Linked DNA regions of Caenorhabditis elegans. The protein of the gene in region 1 interacts with the protein of each later gene in a pairwise test. Each region holds a gene or a part of one and is shown in the gene's direction. Other genes may lie near its edges. The genes, in order: stam-1, clec-48, ant-1.1 and zipt-2.3.

Evidence for each region.
Region 2: the proteins of stam-1 (region 1) and clec-48 interact in a two-hybrid assay, tested with the Caenorhabditis elegans proteins (one large-scale study listed by BioGRID).
Region 3: the proteins of stam-1 (region 1) and ant-1.1 interact in a two-hybrid assay, tested with the Caenorhabditis elegans proteins (one large-scale study listed by BioGRID).
Region 4: the proteins of stam-1 (region 1) and zipt-2.3 interact in a two-hybrid assay, tested with the Caenorhabditis elegans proteins (one large-scale study listed by BioGRID).

The regions. Positions count from the first base shown.
Region 1 is NC_003279.8:5,900,908-5,907,208, reverse strand, and holds stam-1 (Signal transducing adapter molecule 1), read left to right. Parts: upstream 1-2,513; 5' UTR 2,514-2,569; coding exon 2,570-2,575; intron 2,576-2,881; coding exon 2,882-2,989; intron 2,990-3,171; coding exon 3,172-3,363; intron 3,364-3,565; coding exon 3,566-3,763; intron 3,764-3,816; coding exon 3,817-4,067; intron 4,068-4,231; coding exon 4,232-4,664; coding exon of another isoform or gene 4,665-4,694; intron 4,695-4,761; coding exon 4,762-4,947; 3' UTR 4,948-5,104; downstream 5,105-6,301. Other genes in the region: hpo-27 (Maestro heat-like repeat-containing protein family member 1 homolog), read right to left, coding at 1-116, 165-316, 465-498; tyr-4 (ShKT domain-containing protein), read right to left, coding at 5,175-5,599, 5,653-5,982.
Region 2 is NC_003283.11:18,155,548-18,160,545, forward strand, and holds clec-48 (C-type lectin domain-containing protein), read left to right. Parts: upstream 1-2,330; 5' UTR 2,331-2,479; coding exon 2,480-2,574; intron 2,575-2,625; coding exon 2,626-3,020; intron 3,021-3,488; coding exon 3,489-3,692; intron 3,693-3,749; coding exon 3,750-4,021; 3' UTR 4,022-4,067; downstream 4,068-4,998. Other genes in the region: C14A6.13 (STP1 protein), read right to left, coding at 4,138-4,371, 4,666-4,725, 4,898-4,987.
Region 3 is NC_003281.10:13,460,671-13,465,477, forward strand, and holds ant-1.1 (ADP/ATP translocase), read left to right. Parts: upstream 1-2,492; 5' UTR 2,493-2,560; coding exon 2,561-2,618; intron 2,619-2,726; coding exon 2,727-2,791; intron 2,792-2,836; coding exon 2,837-3,057; intron 3,058-3,110; coding exon 3,111-3,669; 3' UTR 3,670-3,982; downstream 3,983-4,807. Other genes in the region: abcf-2 (ABC transporter domain-containing protein), read right to left, coding at 33-1,163, 1,215-1,403, 1,463-1,537; T27E9.2 (Cytochrome b-c1 complex subunit 6), read right to left, coding at 1,687-1,914; cdk-5 (Cyclin-dependent-like kinase 5), read right to left, coding at 4,148-4,234, 4,287-4,367, 4,768-4,807.
Region 4 is NC_003280.10:13,711,980-13,718,243, reverse strand, and holds zipt-2.3 (Zinc transporter ZIP3), read left to right. Parts: upstream 1-2,364; 5' UTR 2,365-2,400; coding exon 2,401-2,481; intron 2,482-2,987; coding exon 2,988-3,118; intron 3,119-3,488; coding exon 3,489-3,753; intron 3,754-3,981; exon of another isoform or gene 3,982-4,042; intron 4,043-4,092; coding exon 4,093-4,470; intron 4,471-5,120; coding exon 5,121-5,225; 3' UTR 5,226-5,338; downstream 5,339-6,264. Other genes in the region: sre-46 (Serpentine Receptor, class E (Epsilon)), read left to right, coding at 1-59; kqt-3 (Potassium voltage-gated channel subfamily KQT member 1), read right to left, coding at 5,499-5,711.

The DNA.
Region 1 (6,301 bases):
GTTGCAAGATTTATGATCAACATTATTATTTGTTCATCTAATTTCGAAACTACTTCACAATTATCTACGCATATTGAAATTGTTTGAAGAACAAACGCCCGTTTGAACGCACCGAGCTGAAAATTTTACTTTTTCAAAAAATTTTAATAAGAAAATTAATATACCTTGGGATTCTGTAATAAATATTGATGACACGCAGTTAATAGAACATTTGGTTGATGTGATCCTATTGTTTTCAATGATTCTGCTACTTCATTTTTCACACTTTCTTGGTGTTGGTAGGTGGTTGCTGTGTCCAGAAGACTCATTATCAGGTCTGAAATTATCGAAATATAATAATTAGATGGGATTACTACGAAACTGATATTTTAATTACAGTTTTATATTAAATTCTTTCAAATTTATAAACCAAATTATTAAAAATCCAATTTCAGGTCTCAAAACATTTTTAAAGCAAATCTTACCCAACAAGCTAGAAACCTGGCTGGTTGCTGCCATTTTGTTGCTGATTCGATGCAATCCACTTTACATAGATTTTGGAATGACTGAAAAAAGATAAAATAGTCTAGGATTTTTAATTAACCGAGGAAACTGAAGGTAAGAGATAAGTTTTTAAGAAAAAATTCGAAAGAATATTTTTTTGAAATTTTTTTCAAAAATTGTACCGAAAATATTCAGAACAGACATTAGGAATATTATTTTTAACAACCTATTAGTTGTTCTCTTGAAGGTTGGCTACTGCCAGTGGGGAATGTGTAAAATAATTCCTATGCTGTGACCAAATGACTAAATGTCATAATAAAATTGTCAAAAAATTTGGAAATTATGGAATTTTTCTTCGATTTTTTGACTTAATTATGTTTAAAATACTTATATTCCAACATTGTGGAGATTCAAACATGCGACAGTGATTTAGATTTTTCAAATTTGACTCGAAATAAAAAATTCCAAAATTTTTTGAAAATCTTTATAACGAGATTCGGTAATTTCAACAGCATATGAATAGTTTTTAATAATTTCCCCATTAGTCGTAGTCCACTTTTAACTTTAATTAATAATTAAAACCATTAAGGTTTAAAACCGAATTTCAAAAAAAAATTTCGATATAGAAGACTAAGAATAAAATATAACTTTAAAGAAAGAAGTTATGAAAGTTTTTGTGAGTAAAATGAGTACCAATGTGTATTTTGGGAGGCACGGGGTTGGTGATGAACATTATGTGTTGTATTACGCATGCCATAGACCAGTTTTGCGCGGATTGCATGATCAAGTCGATTGACTTTTCGTCTTTTTCGATTAAATTGATAACCGATCCAGAATAATACTTATATAATTTCATTGAATTACAAAATTCAAATGAGTTAGTAAAAAACTAGAACATTCAGTAAAATTTCAAAGCTATTTGCAAACCACAAACTTGAAATTTGAAAAAAATCAAACATGGAAACTCTAGACAGTGTACACAGGACAAATTACACTGATTAATCTATATCAACTCGCCAAGTTTACAAAATTTCGTCGAAAAACTGATAAGCACATGCAAAAATTCGTGTGAATTGGCTCTAGATAGAAAAATATGAATTGGCTCTAGATAGAAAAAATAACTAAATCGATAATGTTTCGTGTCGTTTTCGATGTATTTTTATGGCTCGCTATCGGCAGCAGCTACCGCTTGTGGCTGTTGTTGGGCCCCTTTTTGACGAATTAGGTGAAGAGAATCGAACGGAAATGAAAATTTATATGAACACAGAGTGGAAGAGTGGTGAGAGAGAGAGAAAAGAACGAAAAGCAGGTGGAATCAACAATGAAAGTGCAAACAATTGTGCTTATAAACAATTTGGATTTGGATTTTTTTTCAACAATTTTTAAAAATTCTATTACGATGAGAAGTAAGAAATATGAATGGAATAAATAGAAGTCTGAACAAATTTTTTTGAAAACGAAAAATTGAACATTTTGTTACGAAGCGTTTTCAGGTTCTAAAGTATTATTTTTTAGGAAAAAACATTAAAAACGTCCCAGTAATCTACTTTTAATAATTTTGAACTAATTATTGAGTAACATTTAGTTTTAAAAGTTTAGAAAAAGCATGGACACTGAAAATTAAAAAAAAACATGTTTAAACAGAGAAAAAAATTTGAAAGATTAAAGGAGCGCGCGATTTGTAGCATGAGGGTCTGCCACGAATTCTACAGTTGTTCAGATCATTTTTTTTGAATTATTCCACAATCTTTCTTCTCTTTGGAATTTAATTTTTCTCGAAAGTTATTTAATTTTTCTATAAAAATGTGCATTGCAGTTTTAAAATGTTTTTTTTTTCAATTAAACGCATGAATGTGATTGGTACACGCGTGAGACGCAAGTTCTCGAAAATCTGCGATTGCGAAAGGCAAAAGTATTCATTTTTTCGAAAAAATAAACAAATTGCTCAAACTAAATTGAATATCGATCGTCTTTGCCCTCAATATTTTAAATATCACGCTTTTGAAAATTATTTCGAAATAAATATTCAGTTTCAGTGAGACTCATTCAATTGAACCTGATCACGTGCTGAAAGTCTGCTGTAACAATGAAGGTTTGTTCGTTTTCCTATCTCTACTTTAATTAAAAATAGTGTTAAGAGTAATTGTTCATTCAAATAGATTTTTTTTCATTCAGTAAAAAATGATTAAGTTTTCGGAAAGGAAGAAAACAAAACAAAAACATAGAAAAAAGTGTGCACGAACGAACACACAAAGCATATGCGTCAGTGTCTTAACCCGTCTAATGTCTCTTCATCCCCCTACACTCTCTCTTTCAGTTCACCCGACTAACACATTCAACAAGCAAACCCGTTATTGATTCAATTTTCTTTCGTAATATTCCTTTTTTATATTTTCAGAAACAAAAGTCATTTCCAATGTCTGCTTATGAGGATTTGCTCGGAAAAATCACTGCTCCAACTATCACTGTTGAGAATTGGGAGGGAATTCTCGCATTTTGTGATATGGTTCGTTCAATTTGTTTTAAAAAATGTATAAACCTTTTCACTGATTTATAGATAGAATTCTTTGTCGTTTGATAAAAAATCATATTTTAAAATTAAAATTTCCTCCTTAAATTTGCTAGCTGATTTTCACCGAAAATCATTGATTTTGGACTAAACTTAATGTTTTAGTTTAAAATTTTCAGATTAATAACGACTTCGAGGGATCGAAAACAGGAATCAAATCACTTCGTAAACGTCTCAACAATCGTGATCCTCATGTTGTCCTTCTAGCGATTTCTGTACTTGATTCGTGTTGGGCAAACTGTGAAGAAAGATTCAGAAAGGAAGTATCGTCTGCACAATTTATCAATGAACTCAAAGCTCTTTGTACATCGGTGAGTTTTTGTTTAAATCTGAAATTGTTAAACAAAATATCAAAATTTCTTTCATGAAGTTTTGTATTTCTTTAATAGATATAGTATACGCAGAAAAGAGATAAAAAAGAGAAATAGAGTTAGAAAAATAAGTATAATACGAAAATACGATACATTTCACCGCGTTTACAAAAAAAAATACAAAAATTTACAATTATTATAGAGTCAACGCCAAGTTGCTGAAAAAATGCGATTAACTGTTCAAAAATGGGTGGATACAGAATGCAAAACTGAACAATCACTGTCACTTATCGTCACTCTTCACAAAAATCTTGTTGCTGATGGCTACTCATTTGTTGTGGATGATCCAAAAAGTAAAACGAAAGCGATTGATGCAAAGTTTGCAAATGATCCGAATTATGTGAGTTGTGGAAGTTCGCGGCAATAAATATCAAAAATTAATAATTATTATAGGTTGGATCTGCTCAGGAAGAAGAAGCAATCGCAAAAGCCATTGCTGCTTCATTGGCGGATGCAGAGAAACAGGAAAAAGCAAAAAAATCAACATCCACAATGTATCCATCAGCAAAAGCAAGTAGTCCAGCAGTTCAGACTAATTCGAATATTCCGGAAAAGAATGTTCGAGCGTTATACGATTTTGAGGCTGCTGAAAGCAATGAATTATCTTTTGTTGCTGGAGATATTATTACAATTACTGATGAAAGGTAAGCAACAAAAATGTGTTCTAGTTTAAATTGAAAGCAATCGCTTAAAAATCAAATCAGGAAGTTCTTCAGTTTTTTTTTTTGTAATTTAAAATTAATCATACCGAACCTTTTCGTTACTGACTGCTTCTATCAATTATCAAAAAAAAAACAATTTTTTGCAGCAATCCCCACTGGTGGACTGGTCGTATTGGTACCCAACAGGGACTTTTCCCATCCAGCTTCGTTACTAATCAACTCGATGATCTAAAATCAAAAGAGACGGATTCATCACAGAAAGCCCCAGAAGTTGTAGCCTCAATTAATGAAGCAATCCTTGTTCGTTGTCTTCAAGTACTCCATGAATGTGATCCTACCGGTGAACGACAGGATCCAGAGGATTTGGCCCAACTAGAAGCCGCCTCGTATGCTCAAGGAAATCTCATTGATGCACATTTGGCTAGTATTGATCGACAGAGCAACTCTCTAGCACAAATCGATGTGGCTATTCGTGATGTGCTCGCACTTTATGATGATGCGATTCAGAAGGGAGGATTTCAGCATCAAAGTCAAGGAATGTACCAACAACCAATGCAACAGTACAACTATCAGCAACCAGTCAGTTTTTATTCAGAAAAAAATATTTAGAAAACTGAAATTTTTCATTCTAAGCTTCACGGTAATGCCTATCAATTCAAAAAATCGTATTTTTCAGCCAAACCGAGCATATTACCCACCTACCGGTCCTGTCCAACAACAGCAGCCACAACAATATCCTCCACAACACTATCCGGCTCCTGGAGCACAACCACAGTACGCATGCCCACCGAATTCTGTTCCCCAACCTCAACAACAGCAACAACAATGGCCTGCTCCGTCTTCACAGCCTCAACAATATTAACTTTTTGATTTGTTGTGAATATCACCTTTTCCTCCTTGAATCTGTAACTAGTTCCATTGATATTGTGATCACTTCTAACTTATTTTTCTCGATTCGCCACCCGTTTCTGTATAGTCTTTTGCTTCCTCGAGTTCTCGATAAGATAAAAATGAATTCTTTATTGAGTTTGAGGCAAATATTTATTATACACGAAAATAATCGGATAAATTGAGAAAAGGTAACAAAAATTACAAGAGGTCCGGATCAAAAGATGGCATTGAAATTGATGCATTGGCTGCTCGAATGGATCGTTTACCCCATCCACCGCCTCCCCATCCACCTCCACCCCATCCACCTCTTCCACCACCCCATCTTGATCCTCCCCATGGATCATTGTTTCCCCATCCACCACCTCCATTTCCACCCCATCCTCCATTATCTCCGAAATCGTCACGTCCCCAACCTCCACGTGGTGGTTGACGAGATGGATTAGTCTGACGAACTTGTGCAACTGGAGCAACTGATCCAGCTGTAGTTCCACACATTCTACGAAGCTCTGATTGAGTATAGCAACTGTTACAGCTTGATCTACAATTCTCAGCCATCCATGGATTTTTCTGACATTCACCGACACGAGCCCATCCGGCACATGATCTATGGTAGTCGACGCATGCTGAAATATATATTTTTTAATTATAAAAATATTTTTTTAAAAATAAAGCTTACATCCATAATTGTAATCTTCAGGATAGCAATGTCCACATGAAACTCGACAATTACATGCCATATATCTTGTATTTTTTCGGCATTCTCCCATTAATCCCCATACAGCACAGCAAACATTCTCATTGAAACAACCATCAGAATTATCACACTGTTGAGCTGGAGCAGGTGTCGTCGTGGTTACTGTAGTACCACCTCCTCCACACTCTTGAGCACGTGATCTACCACATTTATTACAACTTTTACGGCAATTTTCAGTCATCCAGAGTTGATTTTTGGTGCATTCACCGGAGCGGGACCAGCTACTGCATTGGGTATGACGATCAGTGCAATCTGGAAAATTATCGTAATTTTGCAGTTTTTCGATACACGAACTTAGAGGTGCATGGGTTTATTTGGTTTTTATGGGGCTTGGAGGAACTTTTATTATTTTTGGTCAGTTTTTATTTGTTTCATTTATGTGAGAGTTTATATTTTTCAATTTTATCTTTCTAAACATGAACGGCGCCGGAAAAATCTAATAAAGATACCATAAACTTTTTCCCGGTGGGACCCTTTCAAATAACCCCATGTACCTTTAATTTTCTGAAATTGCCAAATTACAATAGCAAACTTTTTAAAAAGAATTTTACCGAAAAAACCCTTGTGGTAA
Region 2 (4,998 bases), on another chromosome or scaffold:
ATTTCAGAGTCTCTAATATATTTTTAGAAGATTCCAAATTTCCCTAAAAATTTCAAAAGATTCTAGAACGTCTGTGCAAAAAATGGTGGCACAAAAATTTTGGATTTTTGGCAGAATTTTTATGGGATTCCATAGGAAATTAAAAAATATTTGAGATTTTAGCTAAAAGTAAGCCATTTTTTCCAAAACTTTGAGCGGTCATAACTTTTTTTTTCGAAAATTTTCACTTTGAAATTCGGTAGTTTCGGACCATTTTGGGTCTAAAAATGGCAAATTCTCAAATTTCGGTACTCCACCTTTAACTGCCAGTATGGTCTAATCTCGTCTAACACAGTCTAATTCCAGGCACCAACAAGCTGGTAAAGTCCTCGGAGCTTCTCGAAATCCAACGAGGAAAGTCCGACGCAGCAAATGGCAAGCGAGAGGCGACACCTTACCTGGAAATTCTCACAACTCCATCTGTCTGGGGTATATGGATTGGTGCTCTGGGAGATCTTATAGCCGTCCAACTGATTCACATCTACTCACCTGTCTATTTACACGATATTGGAGGCTATTCAGTGGAGAAGACCGGCTTTGCAGCGGCCGTACCGGTGCTGTTTCAGTTTTTCATGAAGCTTTTTGCAGGTGGGTATTCAATTTTGGTCAATTTTGTAGTGGGTGGCAATTGCCGTTCGGCAAATTACAGGCTTGCCAATTTGCTGGAAATTTTCAATTCCGGCAAATTGCCGGTTTGCCAGTTTGCCAGAAATTTTCAATTCCGGCACATTGCCGTTTTGCCGATATGTTGGAAGTTTTCAGTTCCGGCAGATTGTCGATTTGCCGGATATTTTCAATTTCGGCAATTTCCCAGTTTGTCGATTTGCTGGAAACTTTAAGTTCCGGTAAATTGCCGGCTTGTCAAATTTGCCTAAAGTTTTCTATTCCGGCACATTGCCGGAATCTAATATTTTGGGCTCTGGTTTAGGCTTGCGCAACATTTTTGACTTCAGACATTGCCTCCTGTGGAATCAAAGAAGGTAAATATGAACACCTCGCATGGATCGGTATGCACAAGGTTGGTCAGGACTGGGTATGGACTGACGGTACCCCATCAAACTACATCAACTGGGCACCAAAGCAGCCTGACAATCCAGGAAAGGAAAATTGTGTGGAGACGGCGCCGGATCTTTCTCACGATAAATGGTATGAGAACTGGAATAACGAAGCGTGCAGCACCGAGATGAGAGCTTATATCTGCAAGAAGGGATCTATTCATGCATAGATATATTGATATGTATACTAATATTTAATAAATTGGTTACACATTTGATACTGTTGAAAATTGAATTGAAAGATGCATGAAGGTATTCGCAAACTATTGTAGTTCTAGGACATTGTTGTACAAAACATTCGTACGCCCAATTCTAGAGTATGGTACAGAAGTCAGTAGCCCATTAAAAAGCAAGACATTAAAGCGATTGAATCAGTGCAAAACTCATTTACAAGAAAACTATATAGTAGGCAAAAAGACAGATACACCCGTACGGACGATCCAGACTATAAAAACGCAACCGAACGCAATGAACTGTTTAATTTATCTTCCCTAGAATCTCGAAGAATGGCTATTGATAGAAAATTCATTAAGCGAATGCTGGCGAAAAAAGTTGATATTGATACAAATAAATTCTTTGAAATTGATAAAAACAACAAAACTCGCACCAAAACAAAGTTCATCTGGGCGAAGTGCAAAACAAAATTAAGAAGGCATTTTTTCGCAAATAGGGCTCTTAGTACTTTTAAAGGTTAGTGTGGTCTAATTGGATATTGTCAAGTCCCAAAAATTGCCTAGTTAGCTGTATTCTTTACCCTCTTCATATGTTTTCTTGCATTGTCTCTCTACTAATCTCAATTTCAGGTGATAATTATACACTTTACATGTCAATTGATTATTATGTATTTCTTATGACTATGTTTCTTTTTATATTGATTGCTTTATTTGATTATGTGTATGTGTTCTATTGGTATTTAATTTTTTACACGATTAACTAATCGTATCAAAATAAATAAATAAATGAAGTCGGCTTGACAGCTTCTCAGATTTTAGTTGTACGCTTAAATTGAACTGAGACCTGGATTTACCAGGGTGCCGCTGTCAGAATTTCCGAATAGTACCAATACCACAGTACAGTACAGTAGTACCACAGTGCCGAGGACCCCAGCTACCGGCCCGGCCAGCACCCTCTAGGAGCAATTTTCGATACTGATCTCTGATTTCTGATTTCCATGTGGTCTGCCTAATCATATTTTGTTCTATGTACCCCGTGCTTCAAGAAAACACTTACTTGGTCAATTGAACTGTTGTCTTATCATAGACGTGTGCTTCCTATTTTTACGGGTTTCTTTCCGGGGTTTTCAGGTTTTATTGACCATTAAAAATTGACTCCGCCTTTATTAAAGACTATATTCCATTATGAACTCTCATTTTCTCTGCTCCATCATGATCAGGTTAACACTACTTCTATTCGGGCTATTGGGAGCCGCCACAGCACAGAACTGTAACACCGGTGGGATTTATAATTCGCAGTTTAATAGGTATGTTTCTTTGATGATGGTTACCTACCTACCTACCTGTCCGTTCTCCAGATGCTACCAATACTTCACCGCCCCCGCTCAATTCTCATTTGCCGAACAGCAATGTAACCTCCTCGGTGGCCACCTTGCCTCCGTCCAGAACGGCCAAGAAAACGCTCTTCTCCAGTCAAATGCAGCCAACTCTTTCAAAAAATCCAACTACTCCGATTACTGGATCGGAGCCAACGATCTCGAGACATCTGGTACCTGGAAATGGACAGATCCATCAGTGACATTTGATTATTCCAACTGGCAACTCGGCGAGCCTCAATCCGGAAGTGATTGTGCAATTCAGGATAAGGGAGACGGAACCTGGTCGGCTATTGGATGTACTTCCTACAGGCCATATTTATGTGTTACTCCTGTTATTATGACTGCCACGTGTCCACCAATCACTACACCCATTCGTAAGTGAACTAAAACATCAATTTGAATTTCGTGCCATTGTGAAATGAAACTCATTTGAAATATTGTCATCACCACGTGGTGTAAGCGTGTCTCATTTAGTCATCATTTCTAGCCTTTTCTGTGTAAAATTCGCGTAGATCACAAGTAGATCACTGTGTATTTATCTCTTAAACCAGAATTCTGTTGTTTTTTTTATTGTGATCAACAAATTCATTATGGTAAACGCGTGAGCTACGCGAATTTTACACAAAAATTGCTAAAACGATGACTAAACGCGCGGTAAGAACATTCCACATAAAAAATATTTCGGAACCCGTTTTGCGTCGAAAAAAACCATAGGAACATACTCTTCAACTCTGACATCAAGACTTAAAAAACCCGGTTGTCAAGGTTCTATTGAACTCAACTGATTACTGCAACAGTAATATAGTCAGCATTGTCAATATTTTAAACCTGCCTTTTTCCAGCAACCACATGCCCTACCCCAGCTCCATGTCCCATTAAACAGTGTGTCCCGTCTTGTGATCAAGGCTGGACCTACTTCTCTCCAACCGACTTCTGTTATCGTGTGTACCATGGTGAAAAGTTTAATGACGCTGAGGCATCGTGTGTGCTGTTGGGAGGACATCTCGCCTCGATTCACTCGCTGGCAGAAAACACTTTTGTGAATAGTGAGTATCTAATATTTTGGGCTCTGGTTTAGGCTTGCGCAACATTTTTGACTTCAGACATTGCCTCCTGTGGAATCAAAGAAGGTAAATATGAACACCTCGCATGGATCGGTATGCACAAAGTCGGTCAGGACTGGGTATGGACTGACGGTACCCCATCGGACTACTTCAACTGGGCTCCAAAGCAGCCTGACAATCCGAAAAAAGAATTCTGCGTGCAAACTGCTCCCGATCTTTCTCATGATAAATGGTATGAAAACTGGAACAATTTGGAGTGTAATGAAGTGATGCGGGCTTATATTTGCAAGAAGGCTTCGATTCATAATTAGATAATTGTTGTTAGTAGTACAATTTCAAGATAAAACTAAGCTTTTTAACACCCTGCTTTTAAATAATTCAAGCAACAAAAAATAATCCAGTAATTTTTTATATCAGCAAGTAGAATTCAGTTCTCATAGAGTCCATTGAAAAGTTCCGAAAAATCGATTGGCGCCAAGTACAGAAGAATTGCAAGGAAAATTGGAATAATGAAGATGAGAGCGAATTTTGGAGCCGATGACGTCATCGTTGGAGAAGTGGAAACGTCATCCATCTCATCAGTCTCGAGAATTTCAGATTCGATGTCCGAGTCGGTGTCATCTTCAATTTCAGGCTCAGAAGTGGTGCTGTTTTTGACGTTCTGGAAGAAGAATTTACAAAAATTAGGGGCTTATATTTTGGCTTAGATTTAGGCTTATGCTTATGCTGAGGCTTTAATTTAGGCTTAGGCTGCGGTTTCGGCTTTGCCTTTGGCTTTGGCTTAGGCTTTGACTTTGGCTATGGCTTTGGCTATGGCTATGAATTAGACTCAAGCTTACACTTAGGCTTAGGCTTTGTCTTAGGCTTTTGCTTAGGTCCTCCTCTAATTTTTGGGAGACCGCAGACAGTTATAGTGTCTTACTGTCTGCGGTCTCTCCTCCCCCTCAATACTTACTTCGTCACTATCAGAAGCATCCACCGGCTCTTTTCCGAATACCTCGTCTTCCATTTCAATCTGAAAAATGTATAATGAGTGTGAGGTAATGTGAGGAGAGAAAGAGAAACGAGACACTCTCGTCGTCTGCGCTCTCTCCCCTCCTTCACTCTATTTGAAAATTAGCCGTAAATCTGTTAGTTTTTGAGCGAAATCTATAAAATTCAGTTGTTCAGAATCAGGAAATGCTCACCTTTCTGAAATACATAATTGTGTCTTTAACTTCCGGCTCAAGACCCTCAAAATCCGAGTTGCGAAGATTCAAAATTGCTTTATGAGCATTCTGAAAATATT
Region 3 (4,807 bases), on another chromosome or scaffold:
GACAGCAGATTTTTTTCATAAAAATTCCCAACCTGGTGATAACGTCCAATCTTACAATGCGAATGTCTTCTGATCAATCCGTCAGTTGGCATCACATCAGTACAGAGAAGCTTCAACAGTGTCGATTTTCCAGCTCCGTTAGGTCCGACCAAAGCGATTCTGGTATCCAAATCAATTCCAAAGTCAATATCCTTATAGATCCATGGAGTATTCTCGTTGTATCGGAATGAAACATGCTGAACCATGATAACTGGTGGTGGAATCTCCCCAGCATCAAAGAAGTAAAACTGTTTCACGGTTTCAGTGACAGCCTTTTCAGCGAGGCCTCCGGCAATCATCTTAGCCATAGTTTTTTCTTTGGATTGAGCTTGACGAGCGAGTTTGGCAGAACCGTGACCGAACCTCGCGACGTAATCTTTCATGTGTTGAAGTTGAGACTGTTCCCAGTTGTATCGTTTTTGTTGATTTTCGAGCAATTCAAGACGTGTCTTCACAAACTGGTCGTAGTTTCCTCCATAGTAAACCAATTGCTTTTGGAACAAATGAATGATGTTGGTGCAAACTCCGTTCATGAAATCTTGAGAGTGAGAAACCACCAACAAGGTTCTTTTATACTGAGCGAGTTCCTCCTCAAGCCACACACAAGCTTCCAAATCCAAATGATTGGTCGGTTCGTCGAGAAGTAAGACTGACGGTTTCAGGAAAAGTGCACGAGCGAGAGCAATGCGCATTCTCCATCCTCCAGAAAAATCTTTACATTTTTTCATTTGCATAGTTTTTGTGAATCCAAGTCCGTGCAAAATTTCGGCAGCCTTCTTTTCAGCGAGAGATGCATCCATTTCATCCAGCCTTTCGTAAACATCCATCAGCTTGTCCTGACTTTCCTCATCAGTCTGACTAGCAAGCTGCTCGGCAAGATGTTCCAACTCTTTTCTGACTGAATCGACATCAACGACCGCTTGAAGAGCAGTTTTCTCTGAAGCAGGCATTTCACGGGATACGAGGTACATATCCACGGACTCTGGGATTGGCATTTCCTTGTTGTAGATTGCCTGAATGATGGTAGACTTTCCAGATCCGTTCAATCCGATGAGTCCGTAACGACGTCCACGGTTGAGTTCGAGTTTCGTGTCAACGACAATTTCACGACCGTGGAATGTAATCTGAATGAAAACAAAGTTACTTGTTGGAGTCGCCAATTAAAAACCACTTACCGTCAGGCTTTCTACTCTGTGATCAAGACCCTTTGGATCGGAAGTCAATGATCCGGCGACTGAACGAGCAGCAGCGTTTTCCAATTCGATTTTGGCCAAGGTGGCGGCGGCCTGATCGAGCTCCTCGTCTAAACAGCAGAGACTGTTGACGGACGGATGTTGAGATGACATGGCGGTTGGTGTTTCTACCTGGAAATGAGATGATTATTATTTGTTAAACAAAAAAAAACTAAAAATCAATTGCTCACCTTCTTTTTTCCTTTTCCTCCTTTGGCGGCAGCCTTCTTAGCGGCCTCGCGTGCTTTCTTCGCATCAGACGGCATTGTTGTCCAGCAGTGATGCGGATGGGGTACCCTAAATTTTTATTTATTTATCTCTCAAATACACGGAAAAAGCGACGGATAAAAAATACGAGAGCGAAAATTCACATAAACTAGACGAGAAATCCTCAAAAAAAGCAGGAAAAGAAATATTATTTCAACGAAGCGAAGGCCTTTGGCATGGCACAGTGATCCAAATGGTGAACGTAGTCAGCCATCTCCTGATGGCAGGTCTCCTCAGTGTTAGAACGAGAGTTGACACGATCGTTGCACTCGTCGAGAATACTCTTGAATTCGGTGACATGGTCGGCACATCGCTCACGGTATTGAGTAAGTTGATCGACGTCAGCCTCGAGTGGCTCTTCCTTGTGGCTCGACATACTGATACCCGAAAAAAATTCCATGATAGTGACAAGTCATTGGCTCGATGAGAAGAGAAATATGAAGAAAACTACTTTAAAGCGATTCGAAAAACCGGTCATACCAAACTCCCGTAGGCATAAATTAGCCACAATGCGATATCGATTTTTTTCGGAACATTGAGGTTACGAATAACCAGTTATCTACAGTGTAAATAAACAAAAAACACTTCAAGTACTGCTTATCACTAATACACTATTGTGTTTGCTTTGACATGGCTCATAATTTTCATAAAAACTGAAACTTTCGCAATTAAGTTACTTTCTTGGAGTTATGACCTATTTTTCGAAAATAAATCACGTTTTTTTAATAAAACAAAACGTGAAAAATTCAGGAATGAAGGAACGAACACGTTTAGAAAAGAAAAATACGAAAAATCGATAACAAAACTGATATTTAGGCTCAAAATATGCAAAAAATCCCAAAACTGGGCGGTCAGAGAAAACTAGTGTTTGAATCGCCGCGCCTGACGCACCGTACTTGCGAGCGTGGCGAGACCTGCAAAGTGCCTCACGGGCTGTGCGCGCACCCCGTTTCGACGGGCGGCCGTCTTCCCACTATTGCTTCTGGCAAGCACCGACCACCGAGGTCCTTCAATCTTGAATCATGTCCAAAGAAAAGTCCTTCGACACCAAAAAGTTCTTGATCGATCTCGCCTCAGGAGGTAAGCTTTTTCAGTTTTTATTGCAAAAATTTGGAGGATTTCTATAATTATTAATTTTGGGTTTTCATTCGTCAAATTTGTGATTTAATTAATTTTGTTTTCTTTTAGGTACCGCTGCTGCCGTCTCCAAGACCGCTGTTGCCCCAATTGAGCGTGTCAAGCTTCTCCTCCAGGTGTGTGATGAAACTTTTTTCCACTATAAATATGAAAAATTTTAGGTCCAAGATGCTTCCAAGGCTATCGCCGTTGACAAGCGTTACAAGGGAATCATGGATGTTCTCATCCGTGTCCCAAAGGAGCAAGGAGTTGCTGCCCTCTGGAGAGGAAACCTCGCTAACGTCATCCGGTACTTCCCAACTCAGGCCATGAACTTCGCCTTCAAGGACACATACAAGGCAATCTTCCTTGAGGGACTCGACAAAAAGAAGGACTTCTGGAAGTAAGTTAAACATTGCATTATTGTTTTTAGAAAATTTCACATTTGAAATTCAGGTTCTTCGCAGGAAACTTGGCTTCCGGAGGAGCTGCTGGAGCCACCTCCCTCTGCTTCGTCTACCCACTCGACTTTGCCCGTACCCGTCTTGCTGCTGATATTGGAAAGGCCAACGACCGTGAATTCAAGGGACTTGCTGACTGCCTTATCAAGATCGTGAAATCCGATGGACCAATCGGACTCTACAGAGGATTCTTCGTCTCCGTGCAAGGAATTATCATCTACCGTGCCGCATACTTCGGAATGTTCGATACCGCCAAGATGGTCTTCGCTTCTGATGGACAGAAACTCAACTTCTTCGCCGCTTGGGGAATTGCTCAAGTTGTCACAGTCGGATCTGGAATCCTTTCCTACCCATGGGACACTGTTCGTCGTCGTATGATGATGCAGTCTGGACGCAAGGATATCCTCTACAAAAACACCCTCGATTGCGCAAAGAAGATCATCCAAAACGAAGGAATGTCCGCTATGTTCAAGGGAGCCCTCTCCAACGTCTTCCGTGGAACCGGAGGAGCCCTCGTCTTGGCCATCTACGACGAAATCCAGAAGTTCCTTTAAATTTGATAACACTTTGATAATTTTTACCTTGTCATTGTCCAACAAAATCTCGTTATGTAGCTTGTTTTAGCAAAGTAGTTCACCTAGCTACTATGTTAAGTTTTCAAAAATAAAGCGAGCCACATAAAAAGTTTTAAATCCTCTATTAAAGTTTTCCCCTTTTCAAATTCTCATTCTTTCCCTCAACACCCCGATTGAACATTCGTTAGGATAGCCCCTTTATCTGGACTCGGTTTGACAATCTCGGTTATTGCACCTGTGTTTGCCGTTGATCTTTAAAATTACTCGAACAACAATAAAACGTTGTTGATTTTCCCTTCGTTCAATTATGTGCCACAGAAAGATTTCAAACCGTAGCCGTTTATTAACGATGAGATTTTGTTTCGCAAGCAATGAGGTTCATTTGGGGTCAGTGGGGGAAGTGAATGCCAGGGAAAGCGAGAAAACAATGTGAGTAGGAAAGTGCAATAGTGAATAGTTAGACGTCAGAAGTGTCTGCGAAGTACGCATGGCGTAGAGCTGCATCGGCATCGATTCTTCCTGCTGGATTGCAAACAAGAAGTTTCTGCAAATACTTCGAGTTTGAGTAAGTATAATTTTTATTGGAAAAAAGTTACCTGTAAAAGATCACGGCCACGTGAATTCAAATTAGGTACGATTTGGCTCCATGTAAGCGTTGGATGGTAGATTGGGTAGGGCTGAAAAATGGTATGTTATACTTGTGTGTTCCTATAATGCAATGGAATTCAATTAATTATTGTCAATCTTAAATCTAGAACAGTTGTCTCTGCTTCTCTAAATCTACTCAATACTCTGTTCTCTGTCCTGTCCCAGCCGCCCGTGATTGTATGAATTACGTCACCCGAACAAACAGCTGAGCTCAAAGTACTCAATATCATTTCTTCTTTCTATCTTTTTCTTTTTTAGTTTTTCACCAATTGACACGGGCGGATAGTAGTCGGGAGGACAGGACAGCGGCAAAATCGTGGCAGGTAAAATGGAAAAGATAAGAAGACGGAATTAGAGAACTAAGAGAATTTGATAAGAATATGTAGAGGTGAAAATACAAAAAATTCAAAGAACTACGACATGTAATACCTTATAATCTGGAAGTTGTGTAATTGATGGCCAATTATCT
Region 4 (6,264 bases), on another chromosome or scaffold:
TGGAGCTGATGAAGGAAACGGAAATTCATTTTAATCAGTTAACGAATACATGGATTTAATTATTGATTTATTGATTTTTTTTAATATAAAGAAAATTATTTGAAGTGCTGTAGTTGCTTTGTTAATTTTTCAAACTTCGGACAACCCCGGTTTATCGATTTTTTCTGAAAATTTGAATTTACATAAGTTTGATCGATTTTCTTTATACATCGGCTTTTCACGAAATTTTGAAATTACAGATTTTTCACGCCCCGCAAACGCGAATGGCACGTGGTGTCGGTGTGCCGATTTGATCTACGAGAATTGCGGGTATTTAGAGACCGATTTCTCAGCCGACGTCACATCTGTCTGGTGGGTAAAAATCCCGCATTTTTTGTAGACCAAAAAAGGCAACCAACCTCTGCCTGCGCTCATTGCATAATGGCACACGCGCACCCCTTAAGTGTCGGTACACAGCTCCCCACTACCTCTGCCGCCTCGTCCATTCAGTATCGCTTCTTCGGCTTATTAGCTAAGATCAAAGTGTAGTATCTGTTCTTATCGTATTAACCTACGGTATACACTCGAATGAGTGTAATAAAGGTTATATGATTTTTGGAACCTAGGGAAGACTCGGGGCTTGCTCCGACTTCCCAAGAGTCGTCCTGGCGTTGCACTGCTGCCGGGCTCGGCCCAGTCCCCCGAGGGGACAAAATAAACGAATCGCAAGTTGATCTGAAATGTCAAAGAAATTTTAGCAAAAAAGGGAAGTGTTCAAAAACGACTCCTGATTTTGGAATAAAAATTTCAAAAAAAAAAAAACACACACTTTTATTTGTAAAATTTTAAGTTCCAATTTTTGATGAAATATGGCTCATTCTTCTCCATTCACTAAAAACTAATAGAAAAACAAATGATTATCACTGAAATTTTTTAACATTTTCGATCAACTAGAATACGGTAACCGCATCACCCCGAAACCAATAAAAATATTTTACAGGTGTTCGCAAATATGATCGTAAAATACATATAGAGGGAGGAATTTTCGTGGAAAATTTTGCGATTTTTCTAAATCACCGGGAAATTTCGATTTTCTGTTCCATTGCTTCAAAGCTTCAAATAATCGTTTTGCAATTTGTCAACTGTAAAAATAAAGTAATTGTTCTCGGTGGCCGAACTTTTCCGTTTGGCGGCCACGATACTTGTTCTGTGACGTGGCGCTAACCTTGTTTTTAAGTACTTCTTTATTATTTGTTTATTTGCCCACACGGCTTGAAAAGCAGGATGTTTTCTACATTTTTCATTTTGAAATGATGATGTTTTTGTCAAATTATTATTTACAACTGTTTTGGCATTTTAAGCGGCTCAATTTTGAATTTGTTAAATAGTTTTTTTTTCAAGCCTTCAATCATAACATTTTTAAATTGCATATTCGATTTTGAAATTTTCAAAAAATTTACCGCAAAAAAATGCAAAAAATACACGGAAATTTGAAAATACCGGTTTTAAGCCATTTTTGGTTTCTTTCTGGAATTTTGCACGAAAAAATAGGCGCGGAAATTCAATTATAATTAAGCTATTCAGGTTTTTTTTTTCTCGAACGATACTGTAGGGTTACTGTAGGAGGGCAGTAGGAATACTGTACGGTATTGTAGGGTTATGAAGGGTTAGTATAGAATTATTGTAGAGTACTGTATGATTAATGTAAAACTACTGTAGTAGTACATTAGGGTGACTACTGAAGGATTACTGTATAATTACTGTAGGACTACTCGTGAATTACTGTGGGGTTACTAAAGAAGTGCTGTAGAAGTATTGTAAGCGTAATGTATGAGTATTTTAGGGGTATTATAGGGGAACTGTAGGGTACTGTAGGATTACCAAAAAGTTCTAGAAATTTTGCCAATTTCTTGCCAAGTTCCTAGAGGAACTGAAATTCTTTTGAAAAAAAAATTTGAAGGCGCAGATCACTAGAAAGAAACCTTTCAGACAAGGAACAAGTTTTTAAAATGTTGAAAAAAAAAGTTGCCTATAAAGCTTGTGACAAAATAAAACAATAAATTGTGGAAAAATACGGAAAAAAAGGATGATAGGATAAAAATTGTCTCTTTTTTAAATTTTCTAGATTAAAAAACCGGCAAGTTCAACGTACACATCAGTATCAAAGTCATAAAATGTGTTTAATTTTCATCAACTCTAGTAATACACTCCAAAAGCCCCACCGTCTTAAACACCGAAACACGACAATGTCAATTCATGACGAAACAGGCAAAAACCTATAAAACTCGATAGGCCTATATGTGCCAGGCCTTATCGAAAAAGGCCTCTCCCGACCTCTCCGCCCTAGTTTCTTATCAATTTTGCTGTGCTCTTTTCTAGTTGAAATCAACTCATTCAACAGATTTTTAGGTCGAACAAAATATGTCTTTGGAGTTGCTCAAATGGATTATGCTCGGAGTTATGGCCTTGATGACTATAATTTTTGGCCTATTACCGATAAAGGTAAGATTTTTGAATATTGGGTATTTTTTGAATTTTTACGCAAATAAAATGCCTGAACGCCTTGATTATGCCTACCTGCCTGCCTACCTGCCTATCTGCCTACCTGCTTACGCCTACCTACCTACTAATTCCATTTAAAAGATTACTTTGTAGACACAAGGCAAACGTATGTTAAAGCAGGCAGGCAGGCAAGTAGGATCATTCTCCAAAAGGGGATTAGGCTTAGGCTGAGGCTTAGGCTTAGGCAGAGGCTTAGACTTAGGCTGAGGCTTAGGCTTAGGCTGAGGCTTAAGCCTAGGCTTAGGCTAAGATTTAGGATTAGGCTTTTAGGCTTAGACTTAGGCTTCGGCTTACGCTTATTTAGGCTTAGGCTTAAGCTTGGCGTCAGTGGCGAGCGTTAGCGCGTTACTGACGCTATTTAGGCTTATTAGGCTGAGGCTTACTATTAGGCCAAGGCTCAGGCTAAATACAGCAATTCAAGATAAAATTGTTCAATTTTTTTTCAGGTAATTTCCTACCTGAACACGACGAAAAGTGCAATTCACCAACACTCTTCCCTTATTCTCTCACTATTTTCCTGTTTTGCCGGAGGAGTTTTCCTGTCTGTATGCTTTTTGGATATGCTACCGGATTGCTTGTAAGTTTGGAAAAAATTGGAAAAAATTGTGAATAATTTTCAAAAATTGGAAGAAAAACGGCGGAAAGAAATTAATAATTCTGAAAAAAATCGCTCCAAAAATTCTTTGAAATTTTTTTTAATTTGGTGGCCTAGTTTTTTCCCAAAAAAATTTTTTCTTGCAATTTCAAACGGAAATATAATTTTAAAAAATCTTAAATCACAAAAAATGCCATCTGGTCGTGGAAATAAAATTAAATTTTTATGAAAAAAAACCCAAAGAACCCTGAAAAACTGCTAAAAAAATTTCTAAATCGGTGGACGAGTTTTCTTTTTTCGCGGCCACCAAGCAAACATGTATGTATGCAAGAACGTCTACTAAGCATTTCAGAGAAGCCTGGGAATCCGTACAAACCGACACAAACTACACCAGTGACTACCCATTCGTCCAACTAATCGCCCTACTCGGCTTCTTCTTCGTCTACCTCACCGAAGAGTTATCCAGTGTGATCTGTAATGTAGGCCATGGGCATTCACATTCAAATGATCCAATTATGGAGTCCAATGTGACATTTCCACGTGCGAGACTAGCTACTGTAGGCAGTATTTTCAATGTGGAGGGGAATTTAGTGGAGCCGTGCAAGAGAAGTCTAGAGGTGGGTTCAGTGAACTTTTTTTTTGGTTGGACTAAAAGCTTTTCGTTGAAGTGAACTGGAAACTGATAACTTAGTGGTGATAAGAATATGACAGACTATGTGCAAATGTACAAAATGTATAGTATTTTTAACTTTGATCTACAAGGGTTTCAAAAAAGAAATCTGGAGACGTGTCTATATTTCAAACGGTCATAACTTTTTAGAGGCTTGAAAAGTAAAAAAGTTGTCAACTAACAAAATATAGAAAATTTAAAACTTCATATTTTGTTAGTTAACAAAATTTTGATAATAGTTGGCCTAGCGGAGTTATGAGCATTTTAAGTAAGCATACATTTTCAGAACTACGACGACGACGGTGAGGGTCCGGTACGCCAATCAATCATCTTCACCTCGGCCTTCATCCTTCACGTCTTCTTCGAATGCTTTGCGTTTGGAATTCAAGAGGATGCAGTTTCAGTCACGTCGATCTTCCTGGGAATCGCCATGCATAAGGCGATCGTCATGTTTTCTCTTGGGATGAAGCTCACGAGAACTCATCCGCGACGCAGTTGGATTGTCGTAATTCTTATTTTGGTTTTAGCACTGTTTAACGTGATCGGCGGAACAGCTGGAATTCTGATCTCCAGCTCGAATATGAATCAGACGCCGAAGGATATCACGACGGCGGTTTTGATGAGCTTCTCCCTCGGCACTTTTCTCTATATCTCCTTTTTTGAGGTGAGTTTAAGACACTATTGTGGCAGTGCGAGGTTACTGTAGAATTACTGTAGGGGTACTGTATTATGGTAAGGCGGCCATGTGGGGTTAATGTATTGGTTAATTTAGGGGTATTGTACTATAGTAGGGCGGCAGTACTAGGTTTACTCTAGGATTACTGTAGGAACACTATACTAATGTAGGGTGACAGTCCTAGGTTTACTGTAGGATTACTGTAGGGTGGTAGTATTAAGATTTCTGTATGATCAATACACTACTGTAGGGTGACAGCTCTAGAGTTACTGTAGGATTACTGTATGAACACTTTGTTACTGTAGGGTGACAGTTCTAGGTTTGCTGTGGGATTACTGTAGGAACTCTTTAGTACTGTAGGATGGCAGTACCAGGACTACTGTAGGAACAATATATTACTGTAGGTTTACTGTAGGATTACTGTAGGAACACTACTACTGTAGGGTGACAGCTCTAGGTTTGCTGGAGGATTACTGTAGGAGCTTTTTTCTACTATAAGGTAGTAGTATTACGATTACTGTAGGAACACTATACTACTATAGGGTGACAGTTCTAGGTTTATTGTAGGATTACTGTAGGATTACTGTAAAGCCACTTTACCTACAATTAACCCCATTCATATATCTTTTTTCTTCCAGATCCTTGCCCCAGAACGTGCCAACAACCACTCCAACATCCTTCAGTGGATCGCCAGTTTTGGAGGATTCGCCCTTCTCGCTGTCAACATGATTTGGGCTACCTAATCTTTTTTTTTTTTGTTTCACAATTTCTTAACACCTTGCATATTATACGTCATATCTGACATACCGGTAGATTTGAAAACAACATTTAAAGAAAAAATAAACTTATTATTTTTTTTTTTTGTCTTGAAATTTTTTTTTGAATACAAAACCAGAAATGTTTGAACCACAGTAAGAGAAAATGAAAAGAATCAATGAAAAATACCCGCTGTTGATGCGTCGTGGTCGTGAAAAACCTTGGCCACAATTATGCCCCCTAAAATCAATCGATACACATTACTGCCAGCCCGGTGATCCGGATCTTTGACTGCTGATGCTTGTCGGCGAGAGTTGATCTCGTGGTGATAGGCAGGCGGCAGGCGACACTGGCCTACTTATCAGTGCCGGCGGTGATGGAGATATCGTCAGCGAGTTCCGGTCGGCCATTAGGCGATAGAGAGCGTTCAGTGTTCGGTTACTAGACTCCACTTTTCGGTCGAGGCTTGACATCTGAAAAAATGAGAGGGTTTTAGTGAGGGGTACGGTAGTTTGGGGGTACTGTAGGGGTCCTATAAATTTAGAGGTACGGTAGGAGGGGGGTACTGTAGTAGTACGATATACTTGGAGGTATAGGGGTTGGGAATGTAGGGGGGGGGGGGGGGAGGGGTACTGTAGGGACACTGTAAAAGTGATGATATCACAGGTACGCTAGGGGTACTGTAGGGTTACTGTAGCCTTACTGTAGGATCCCTTCACTGCTGTAGGGTAGCAGTATTACGCTAGGGGTACTGTAGGGGTCCTATGAATATAGAGGTACGGTAGAGTTACTGTAGGGGAACTGTAGGATTACTGAAGGGTCCTTTTTCTACTGTAGGGTAGCAGTACTAGGCTTACTCTAGGATTACTGTAGGAACACTGCGCTACTGTAGGATAGGTTATATAAAATCAGAGGTGCGGTAGGGTTACTGTAGGGTTACTGTAGGGATACTTTCTAGATACGATGAAATTGACGGTACAGTTTGGACCAAAAATAGTTCAAAACATTTCTTATCTCACAGTTTAA